Linked DNA regions of Rattus norvegicus. The protein of the gene in region 1 interacts with the protein of each later gene in a pairwise test. Links are inferred from orthologs where the notes say so. Each region holds a gene or a part of one and is shown on either strand. Other genes may lie near its edges.

Evidence for each region. The genes of interacting proteins can lie anywhere in the genome.
Region 2: the proteins of Chaf1a (region 1) and Mbd1 interact in binary tests that used the Homo sapiens proteins (3 or more experiments, as listed by UniProt). The link is inferred for Rattus norvegicus from reciprocal best matches to the Homo sapiens genes CHAF1A and MBD1.

Annotation. Positions count from the first base shown.
Region 1 is NC_086027.1:959,500-965,011, reverse strand, and holds the start of Chaf1a (chromatin assembly factor 1 subunit A), read right to left. Parts: upstream 3,788-5,512; 5' UTR 3,713-3,787; coding exon 3,673-3,712; intron 289-3,672; coding exon 238-288; intron 1-237. UniProt on the Homo sapiens protein: Acts as a component of the histone chaperone complex chromatin assembly factor 1 (CAF-1), which assembles histone octamers onto DNA during replication and repair.
Region 2 is NC_086036.1:70,143,488-70,149,058, forward strand, and holds the start of Mbd1 (methyl-CpG-binding domain protein 1), read left to right. Parts: upstream 1-1,764; 5' UTR 1,765-1,897; intron 1,898-2,975; 5' UTR 2,976-2,990; coding exon 2,991-3,100; intron 3,101-5,571. UniProt on the Homo sapiens protein: Transcriptional repressor that binds CpG islands in promoters where the DNA is methylated at position 5 of cytosine within CpG dinucleotides. Binding is abolished by the presence of 7-mG that is produced by DNA damage by methylmethanesulfonate (MMS).

The DNA of each region.
Region 1 (5,512 bases):
CAGTAGTGCAGGGCTTGGCTGTCCTATAAGGTCCTGGGCTGGGTTCCCAGCACCAAAACCAAAGAGACAAGATATGACAAACACCAGACCTCCAGTGTTGTGTGGCCAATACTTTGGAGAGACTATACAGTTTGAAGGGAGCATTTAGTGCCCTCCACTCAGCCCCTCACAGGCTTCTAAGGACCCCACAGAAGCCGATGGAAACAACTTAGGAACTAGGTTTAGAACTTAAGTTACCTTGTATCAACCTCTTCACTGGGAACCCAGGTCTGTCTTTGCAATCCATGGCTGTAGGTAAAGACAGAAGAGCAGAAGTTACAAAGGGTTTTGGCTAGCTAAAGTCCACAGCACTCAAACACAAGCAGGCTCCTGTGGCCCTATCTAGTCCACCTGAACTGTCTCTTTGCTTGAGACAGGGTCAAATTATGCAGCACAGGCTGACCTAGGAAAAAAACCTCATGGCAATCCTGACTCTGCTTCTCAAATGCTAGCATCCCAGGCACAAAGTACCACAGCCTGCTTTTATAGACTTAAAAGTATTAGTTAGTATGTAACAGGGATGAACCCAAACTTAAAAGGTCTGCTTGCCCCTGCCTCTCAAATGTTGGGAATGAAGGTATATGCCACCATGCCCAGCTACAATTTATTTTTATTTATGTGTATGCCTGTGTGTTTGTGTGCATGGTGTGTACAGAGGCAGGAGGCATCAGTTCCCCCCAAATCTGGAGGTATAGGCGGTTGTGAGGCACTGAAGGTAGGTGCTGGGATGGGAACTCTGGTCCTTTGTACAAGCAGTGGGTGTTCTTAGCTGCTGAGCTGCTCTCCTTCCCCGCAGATTTTACATTTTTGTATTTGCTGTGTATACACCTGCCAGTCCACATCGACACATGGTGTGTCAAAGAACAGAAAGACTCGCAGGAATCGGTCCTCTCAGTCTCCTTGCAGGTTCTAATGACAGAGCCCAAGTGGTCAGGCATAATAGCAAATGCCCTGACCCTTGTGCCCGCCCATCAGCCCCCAGAGGCAGTTTTCATGAGTGGGGAAGGCTTTAGGGAACCTTCAGCTAACACACAGGTACTCCCTATAAACAGTCCACAGTGAACAAGCCAGTCCCACAACAAATATTTGGCTTAAAATAGCAACACTGAGCAATACTACCCTAGGTTCAGCCCCTCCTGAGTTCCTCTGAGAACCTCACTCAAAAACTTGTAGTATGTCTTACGTAATTATGGCCCTTCTAGGTCAGTTAAGGCTCAACTGCCCAAGAGTGTCCCAAAAGTCAAGTGAGGGCTGACGAGATAGTTCAGTAGGTAGGGAGGGGCACTTTCCAAGTCTACTGACCACCTGCACTCAATCCCCAGGATCCACATAAGTGATCCCCCACTTTCTCTACACGCACGCACGCACAAACACTCACTCACTCACTCACACACATACACACACACAGAGTGAGTGTGACTGGACAAATGGATTAGAAAGTAAAAGCACTTGCTGTTCTGGTCCCTGCATCTGGATCCAACAGCTCACAACCACTCAAAGTCCAGTTCCAAGGGATCCAGTGCCCTTTCTGGTCTCCATGGGCACCTAGTTCACGTGCACACACACAGACACATAAAATAAATCTTTAAACAAAAACTTTTTTTAAGTGAAGGCGTCATACTCTTGAATAGATGAAATGAACATATTTTGGAGCAGAAACTACACTCTGTCAAGACACAATAAAGAACCTGGGGTTAGGAAGATCTAAGTTCCATCCCTAGCCCTGCATAAGCCAGGGCATGAGGACACTTGGCGGTTGAGGCCTGCCTGGGCTACATGGGGACCTGGTCTAAAAGTAGTAACTACAAAAAATAAACAAATTAAAGACCTCATGAGAGAGAATATTTCCCACTAAAATAAATTTAAAGCCTCAGGAATATGTAAGCACATCAAACTCACATATATCGGACCATAAATAGAGCCTATCTTTTTGTTTGTTTTGAGACAGTGGCTTCCTACATAGCCTTGACTATCCGGAACTGAACTTGCTTGAACTTGCTATCTATATATCAGGTTGGCCCCAAACTCACAAACATCCACTTGCCTCTGCCCCTGAATGCTGGGATTAAAGGCATGTGACACCACACCCAGATTAGAACCTGTCATTAGGTAAATGATTTTAAATAGTTGACTTGGATGGACAAGAAGTCCATTGGTAATTTGGGGAGAATTCACATACACTTTGCTAATGTTACATGGAATTCAAACTTGAGCTTTCCTACAACCTCAGCTGCCCAGAGGGGAAACAGCCCATGCACACCAGCTTAGAGACTTGGACCCCCAGAACACAATCCCTTCTTCTCATTTGAATGGAAGAAAGGTAACATCATCAGTTTTCTATTTAAAAAAAGTATTTTGTGGTAGAGTGCTTGCCTAGCAAGCGCAAGGCCCTGGGTTTGGTCCCCAGCTCCGAAAAAAAGAAAAAAAAAGTATTTTTTTCTTTCTGAAGGGCATTTTTTTCTTTAAAATTCATATTCTACTTTAATTACTTTATTGGAGAGGCTTGTGGAATTGATTCTCTTCTACCCAGGATACAATTCAGGTGGTCAGAGGCCAGATCAACCTGGACTTCATCATCCTTCTGCCTCGGCTTCTAGGATGCTGAACTGCAGGTATGAACTACGAAACCAAACTTGTCTTTATTGCCAGAGCAATAAAAATAGTGTTGGTTTTAAACGTTCCACGTTGGTTAAATAAAAACTCTCCATGACAGTCCGGGCAGTTGTATGAATATTAATCATGTCCATGTAAAATTCAAGCCAGTCAGAACAACACAGTGTGTGTGTGTGTTGAGGAGCATATCTTTGATGATCAGAATTGTAAAAGGGGGCCAGAGTTATTCCAGAAGTGGATGGAGACTGAGGACGCTGCTCACCGTCCCTGAGGCTGGCCATCCCCAATCCTCCTCATATCCAAGCTCCGCAGACTAGTATAATGTACCCAGAAGGTCTGTCTCGTCAGTAGTGCTCAGCTGGAGAAATCTTAGTCCTCATCCCTTCCAGTTCCTCAATCATTCAACCAACACTGGGGGTACAATTCATTGTCAAGCAGTGGGGACTGGGCACCCCACATCTAGGGAAGCCTGCCGCATGCTACAAAGACTAATACATACCAGACTGGTCCATATCACACTCACAAAGGACCCCTTTCAGGATCCAGAAAGGGTTCCTGGCTATGCTTAACCACCCAAACCGACCTTCCTTGGTTAGCCCTGCCCCGCACAGTGTCGGCTACCCTGATGTCCAGAGCTCAGTGACCATTAGCCTCAATTTCTCCGCCCATTGCAAAGGTCCGAGTTGCTCTGGTACTCACAAACGCACTTAACAACTAATTTTCCTTCTCCTTGCCCTCAGTTTCCCCACCTGCTGCTACAAGATCCAATTGATTTCAAGAGGACATATGCATTCAGAACCCATCAAAGCCGCCCCCGGGGCCTCAGTTTCCCCATTTGCTCCAAGTCCTAGCTATTGAGGCGACACAAGATCCCTTTGGGAGCTTGCAAAGCTGACTCTTCCCCCTCCCTGGGGCCTCAGTTTCCTCTATAAGAGTTCTCCCTTCTCCCGGTCTCCGTCCCGAGGCCACCCGGACGTGGCCCGCTCCTTCAAGCTGCGGCTGGGCCGCAGCTTCACCCACCGGCGGCTCTCCGCGTCGCGGCCTCCGGCTCCTCCAGCATCCCGGCGGCGGCGGCTCAGGCTTCAGTCAGACGGCCCAGCTGCACACTCCGCCTCCCGACGGTGTCGCTTCTGCTGCCGCCGCGGCCGCCGCGCTCGTATTTGGCGGGAACCGCGGCAATCACCGCGGCCCGCGCGCCCATTGGATGAGATTGCATCACGTGACAGTTAAGCCTCAGGAAAAGAGGAACACTCAGCACGTCCTCGCGAGAACTTCGGCTTCTGTGTCTGAAAATCCCGCGGGAGGCGGATGGAGAAGGGCTCCTTTCCGGCGGTTCAGGAGTGGCCGAGAAGATCCGCATTTCCTATTGGTTCTAAGAAATGTCAATCTAAAAATCAGCGTTTGGCCACACCCACACCCCTTTTATTGGCTATATGCGTTCAAGGAGGTGGGACGGCTATGTCTAGAATGGAAGTGACAACTTGAATGAGGGATTAGAAGAGTAATGGGAGCTAAGGTATCCTAATTAGTGAAGGGTTAAAAGTAGCTACTGTAATTAAAGTTGAGGATCACTTCCTTTAATCTTACATTAATTCCCTTTTTAACTATAGACTTTTAAATATAAGTTACTTTTTTGAAATGATGAACCACTTTTTAATAAATTAACGATTTGCTTTATTTTTTTAAAGATTTTATTTATTTATTATATATAAGTACACACTGTAGCTGTCTTCAGATACACCAGAAGAGGGCATCGGATCTCTTTACAGATGGTTGTGAGCCACCATGTGGTTGCTGGGAATTGAACTCATAACCTCTGGAAGAGCAGTCGGGTGCTCTTAACCGCTGAGCCATCTCTCCAGCCCCTGCTTTATTTTTAAATTAGGAATATTTTCTATTGTAAAATTATAAGTGTTTTGAACTGTAAATTCCTTTCATGTGAATTACTTTGAAGAAATATTAATTGAAAAATTATTGATTCTGGTGCTTTTAATCCTAGTACTTGGGATTTACAAGCAGGTAGATCTCTGAGTTCAAGGACATCCTGGTCTACATAGCAAGTTGCAAGACAGTCAGTGATACAATGTATCAAAAAGTAATTGGCTTTGTTTTTGTTGTTGTTATTGTTGTTTTTCATTTGTTTTGTTTTTTGTTTGTTTGTTTTATTTTGTTTTGTTTGAGACAGAATCTCACTATGTAGCCTTGCTGGCCTGGAACACAATCACCAGTTTCTAAAACTTTTGTAAGGTGAGGAAGAAACCTTTCCCTTCTTCACCTGCAAACAGCTCAGGTGCCTGCAACAGTTCTTTTCTTAAAGTTGTGGCTAGTAAGTGGGTTATTTGGCTAATGAATTAGTTATATGAATTGCTTTGGGCCAGGGGCTCAAGAAAGGTAAGGAATGCTCTAGTGTCAAGGACCTCATCAAATCCTTGACCTGCTGCAGAATATAATTTGACTGAATTGTGTAGGTCTCCTGGAGCCAATCTTGCTGTCAAGCACCTGTCAGCCCTGTATTTGGGAGGTGAAGGCAGAAAGATTAGACGTTAAAGGCCATGATAAGCTAAGTACCAAGTTTGAAGCCAGCCTTGGCCATCTCACAACATATGTAATAAAGAACACCCTTGAATGAGTCTTGTGAGCATGCTAGAAATCCCTGGCTATAGCCACCAGTACTGTTTTTGAAAGGAGACATGGTGTCCCAGGCCTGTTACTGCAGCACTAAGAGAGGTAAGGCCAGCTTCTGCTACATGAGACCCTGTCTCAAAAAACCAAAAAACCAAATGAAACAGAAACTACTCATACCCCAAACTATAAAAACTCCTGTATTCAGGAACAGTAAAGATGGCATATACATATTTTT
Region 2 (5,571 bases), on another chromosome or scaffold:
CAAAAAAAAAAAAAAAAAAAGTAAGAAATGACTCAGTGTCTCTGGCCAGTGGATCATCGACTGTCTAGTATGGAACTGCATACTACCCTTCTTAACCCTCCTCCTCCTAAGGCCTTCTAGTTGCACCTTCCTTTATAAACTTCTTGTCTAGGTTTCTTCAACAATAAATCCAAAAGATTTCTAACCAGACTCTGTAAACAGTGTCTATTACAGGATTTACCTTACCTATGGGGCCAGGAGACTCTCAATTATATACCCTGATGGTGAAGGTTAAGTTCTTCTCCCCAAGGATTTTGATGCCCCCATTCAGCAGGTAGTCAAATGATAACATTGCCCTTTCTGGGCCCCTGATTGTTTATCAATAGTAAACAAAAGTTGTGTGTGTGTGTGTGTGTGTGTGTGTGTGTGTGTTACACACAATGGGGCTGAAGGTAGAAAACACCTTTTGACTGCCAGAGTTGTCAGTAGAAACAAGAGGGTGGGCTCCGCTATTCTCATTCTTCTCCTTACAAGGACAGGAATGGCTGGATCAACAGACTTAGGAGCTTTATGTTAGCCCTAAGGAACCAAAACTTGTGACTTCTGAGTTCCTACGGGCAAAATAGTACCATTTAGCCCAACATGAATATGAATCAGTGATTTGATCCACATGATTCAGAACCAGTGGAGAATGTAGTGTGGCCCAAATCAAGACACTTTCCTCAGGTGTGCTTTACTTTACCTCAGGGCTTCAGTCTATCAGCAGAACCTGGAAACAACTCCAGGGAATCCTCAAAGTCTCTTTATCCATGTCCCCAAAATGTGTAATTACTGTGCAGTGATTAACTGCTAGCTCTGACTTCTTTAAACATGCTTATGGTTGTATGCAAGGTGGAAGAAAAGCATTTTCTCACATAGCTACAAATTCCTCATAAATGAACCAATTGTGGTTTTGCCTTTAAAACTCCCCCTTCCCTTTTAGCCTGGGTTTCAGTCTCTTATCTAGATCTGGTGGGTGCAGTTAGCTGGCCAGCTTAATAAAATTCAGCTAATTGGATTTCATCGAGTGATCTTTCCCAGTCGTCTGGAACTCTCCAACTCTGTAACACACATAACACAGCAGTGCCGAGGAGCAGGTGTGTGAAGCACGCAAAACGGAGTCGTCTTAAAGCAAAATAAATTACCTTGGTCAGTTCACCATTCTCTCCTATTGGGCCTCTGAGGAATGGCAATCTCTCCCTTGGCGCCCTCATTATATTTGCTTGCATACCACGCCTCCTCCTTGTTTCCCAAGAAGGGACCCTGGCCAGGGTGCTGTGATCCTATTCACGAAGTGGGTACCAGTCCTGAAGAAGGTAATCACAGGAACAAAGGAGCTGTGTCTCCGGGAAAAGGAAGTGGACAGGCTTAACTTCGTTGCTGGTGGTTTTTGTGGAGACGTAAATTAAGAGTGGGCCGAGCCAGCGAGGCAATTCACGCCCCCTTGTGTCTGGAGCCACTTTGGAGACCAGCAGCAGGGAAGATTGCATTGACTGGGCACCATCCTCGGTGCGCAGGCGCACAGTCAAGAGAGACCCGGCGGGCTGCGGGTGTTGTCAGTGCGCAGGCGCTGCAGGTTCCCGACAAACCGCGCGCCCCTGAAACCGCAATACGCAGGCGCGGAGCCTCCCCATTGAGGGCACGCGTGACAAGGCTGCACACACAGGTGCTGGTCCTAGTCGGAGCCCCAAAGGCAAGCATTGGGTTTCCGGTTCCGGGACTAACCAACCGCCGCAGAGGCGACAACTACTGTTTTGGAAGAGGCTGCGGTGGAAGAGGAGGAAGAAGAAGAGTAGAACCGGCGGGTCGCGCAAGCGGGATCCTTCCCATGGGTCCACCGGCCTAGAGCCGAGGAAGCTGCGAGCCTGGTGTCAAGCTGGTGAGATAGCGGTGGGAGTGGCGAGAGCTCAGGAGGAGTCTGTGGAGGCGCCGAACGCTAGCGGGGAGACGCGAAGGGCCCTCACGTCAGGGGAAGGAATGGCTACTTCCGGATATTGAAAGAGAGGACTGGGGGGACTGGATAAGAAGACAGAAAAGGAAAAGATGTGGCTCAGGACATTGACAGTGATGTTGAGATTATAGGACCAGGATGGCCAGGAGAAGAAGAGAGAGAACGTTCAGAGAGTCATTGGGCCTTCGTGTTAACAGGATAGAAATGGGGTCCCAAAGCTGATAATGCAAGGATAGGGCCTCGAGACAGTAGAAATAGTAGGGTTAGAATAATGAGGGACGGACTGGAGACTCGTGGCGAACAAAAAGGAAGTAGAATGTCTGATGGTTGGGAGGCTATGGCGTTGTCCTGGAACACAGGCTAAGAAATAAGAGAGGCAGGTCACTGTGGAGGAACAAGGAAGTTTCACAAGATGATAAGAGAAATGGAGAATGATACGTACAGTTAAGAGAAAGAGTAGCTAACACTGGCCATAGGGGTGAGCAATAGAGTCATTTGAGACTGAGACTGGAGAGGAGTTATGGATCGGAATAAGTGAGGGAAAAATAAACTTTGGGGAGAGCTCTTGAACGTAAGGGGAACAGAACACATGAGAGGCTTCCAGCCTGAGAAATGGCAAGAATGTTTGATCCAGTGTATGGAGGAATCCAGGACTCAGACACAGAGATGCAGCTAGAGCACTGCAAGACATTGGAAATTCAGGTGAAGGAAAGTTTAAATGTGTGGTTAGAACACTGGTGTAGTATCCTGAGAAGGAAAGAATTGGGGGCCTCTTACCCAGAGTAGGAGGAACAAGTCTTCTCAGACTGAGGAGGGGTAATATGCATGTTTGGAGGAGAACAAAAAGGAGGGATGGGACTGTTAAGTCAAAGACTGGGAGTATTTCCTGCACCAAGGACATACTTGTGCTAATCTGGGGTTAAGTATTAAAGGAAACGTATGGCTTTTGTGGCCTGGAAATAATTGGCCACTTTTCCCCATACTTTACCTTCTTCCAATCTTGCAGGCTTCTGAAGCATCTATGGCTGAGGCCTGGCAGGACTGCCCAGCCCTGGGCCCTGGCTGGAAACGCCGAGAGGCCTTTCGAAAGTCAGGGGCCTCGTGTGGACGCTCAGACATCTATTATCGGAGGTAACGGGTGGGCTGTGGACAGCGTTCAGTGGAGTTGGACATCGTTAGTAATTAAAGGGGGTGGTGTGTTTAAATCTATGGATGTGGTTAAAGTTGTGCACATAGTCCTTGTTAAAAGTTTTGTGTTTTCTTAATCACCTATTCTTAATAAAGTTTATTTGATCAAAGTCGATACTCACAGTACATTTGTGATTATTCACAGACACACATGGGATAGCTAAAGAATTTGAATTGCCTAGTGCATGTATTTGGAATCAAAGTTGAATAAGAACTCTTATATATTCTCTCTCTCTCTCATTCTTTCTGGTTCTATAAACTGGTCCACCGTCTATTTAGAGCCATATTTTTGTTGTTGGCAAATTTGTTGTTTAAAATGATTCCCAAATCAATTGCTGAAGTATTTTCTAGTGCTCCGAGAGCAAGGATACTGCCTTTTCTCCTTGCCAGATAGGCTTCTTACACGCATGAATTGCAATGCTATCCGGTTGAGTTACAGCGTTCAAAATCAGAAATGGTCCATCCGGAAAGAGAAGAGGAAGCATGTTCAGATGTGTGTGAGGCTGTTCTGGAAAGAGCAGATACTGTTGTAGGGTATTTAATCACACTGTGAACCCTGGGATTAGTTGTATTTACTGGGGGGGGGGGGGAAACCTGGGGTTAGCTGTGGTGTGGCTGAACCTTAGGTCAAGAGGCAGAACAAGCAGCCAGTTGACAGGAAGTGAGCATAAGATTATTAAAGAATTATGGAGAGTAAGAGGTAGTCAGAAGGGTGGACAGAGGGATCCACAGTAGAAGGGAGGACATTCAGTTTGAGGAAGGGATTTTGCATGAGTAGGGACTGCTTGGGCTGTCAGCTGAGGAGGAAGGTCTGCTGGGTGCTCTCTCTGCCTCTCTGAGCTGTCATGCTCTCACCCCAGCATCTGGCTCCCAAGTCTTCTGTGGTAAAATCGAATGCCTGAGATTTTGTTTAAACACCACAAAATTAGGAACAACAGTAAACAGCAAAATTTGTGAAACGGTGAACCAATGGGCAGTAAAGCCTGGTGACCTGCATTGTTCTAAGGAAAGCCAAAGACTTGTCAGTGGGCACTAGAGAAACATAAACATCGGGGGTTGGGGATTTAGCTCAGTGGTAGAGCGCTTGCCTAGGAAGCGCAAGGCCCTGGGTTCGGTCCCCAGCTCCGAAAAAAAGAACCAAAAAAAAAAAAAAAAAAAAAAAAAAAAACCAGAGAAACATAAACATCTCAGCTGATGCTGGCTGGCTTGCATGTTTCAGAAGGTGATATGATGTAAAAACATGGTACTTATAGTACAGGTTCTGTACGGCAGGTATCTTTAGAAAAACAAAATATCAGCAGGCAAACCTAGATAAAACATCCTCTAAAGCCAGTGGCTCTTACTCTTTAACAGTCCTGGAGTCATTCGTAAGAAACAAATGTTACAGTGTTTTTAAGCAAAGACACATAAAACAGGACTATTGGTCAGTTGCTTGAAAATGTGTCAGGCTTGCTGGAACCAACCCCGTTTCTCCCGTAGGCAGAGTGTTCCTTGTTGTAAGAATTCAGGATTTGTAGCAACTAAATAATATATAATTATCATATATGATGAGAATTGACTCTAAACATGTCAACATTATAGTTTATAAGCATGGTATTACTGATGCAACTATTAAAAGTTTTACACTCTTCCTGTATATTTAAGTTGCCATTCCCTAGAAGAATGTAATAAAATTTCTTATTTTTTTTCACATGAGCTTGTATAAAAATTAAAAACCTTCTAAGTAATTGTGCATGTACATATGTACATGCATCAGGTTAGTAAATGAGTTTGTTACTTTTGTGGACGCAGGTAGGAAATGTGTTACTTCTGGGCCAGCAATAACAAAGTTTCTCACAGTAGGATCAGAATCCATAATGCCATGCTTTTGACATTTCTCTGAATCCCAATTCCCATAGGATGATATGAAGAGGGCTCAGTAGTCTCTGTGCTGTACTATGCCTAGGAAAGGCCCCCTGTCTGTTTGAACTTGTATAACCAAGTATCAGTTCAGTAAGTGCCTTTTCTAAAGTGACTTGTTTTTACAAACAAGGAGTAGATAGTTTGTTTCGAGAGACAGTGACTGCCTCTCACAGCTCAGAGGTGAAAAGACCTGGAGCACCGTCTTTCAGCATTAATGATGCTTACACCGTGTTTTGCATATAGTTTCATTTTCGTGTTTTAAAGATATTTCTGTTACAAACTTTTTTGATTACTCATTTTTGCATGCATTACAACATATTTAAGTCCTGAGAGTGTTAGTAATGTTCATAGAGCCTCGAGTTTGTCACCACTCCATAAACTAAGCATGGCGGTTGGTATACTAATGAAATCCTAGCACTAGGGGGTAGGGGTGGGTAGAGACGGGAGGATTAGAAGTTCTGGGTCATGTTTCTTTATGAGACCTCCACCTTAAAGCAAAACAATACATATTT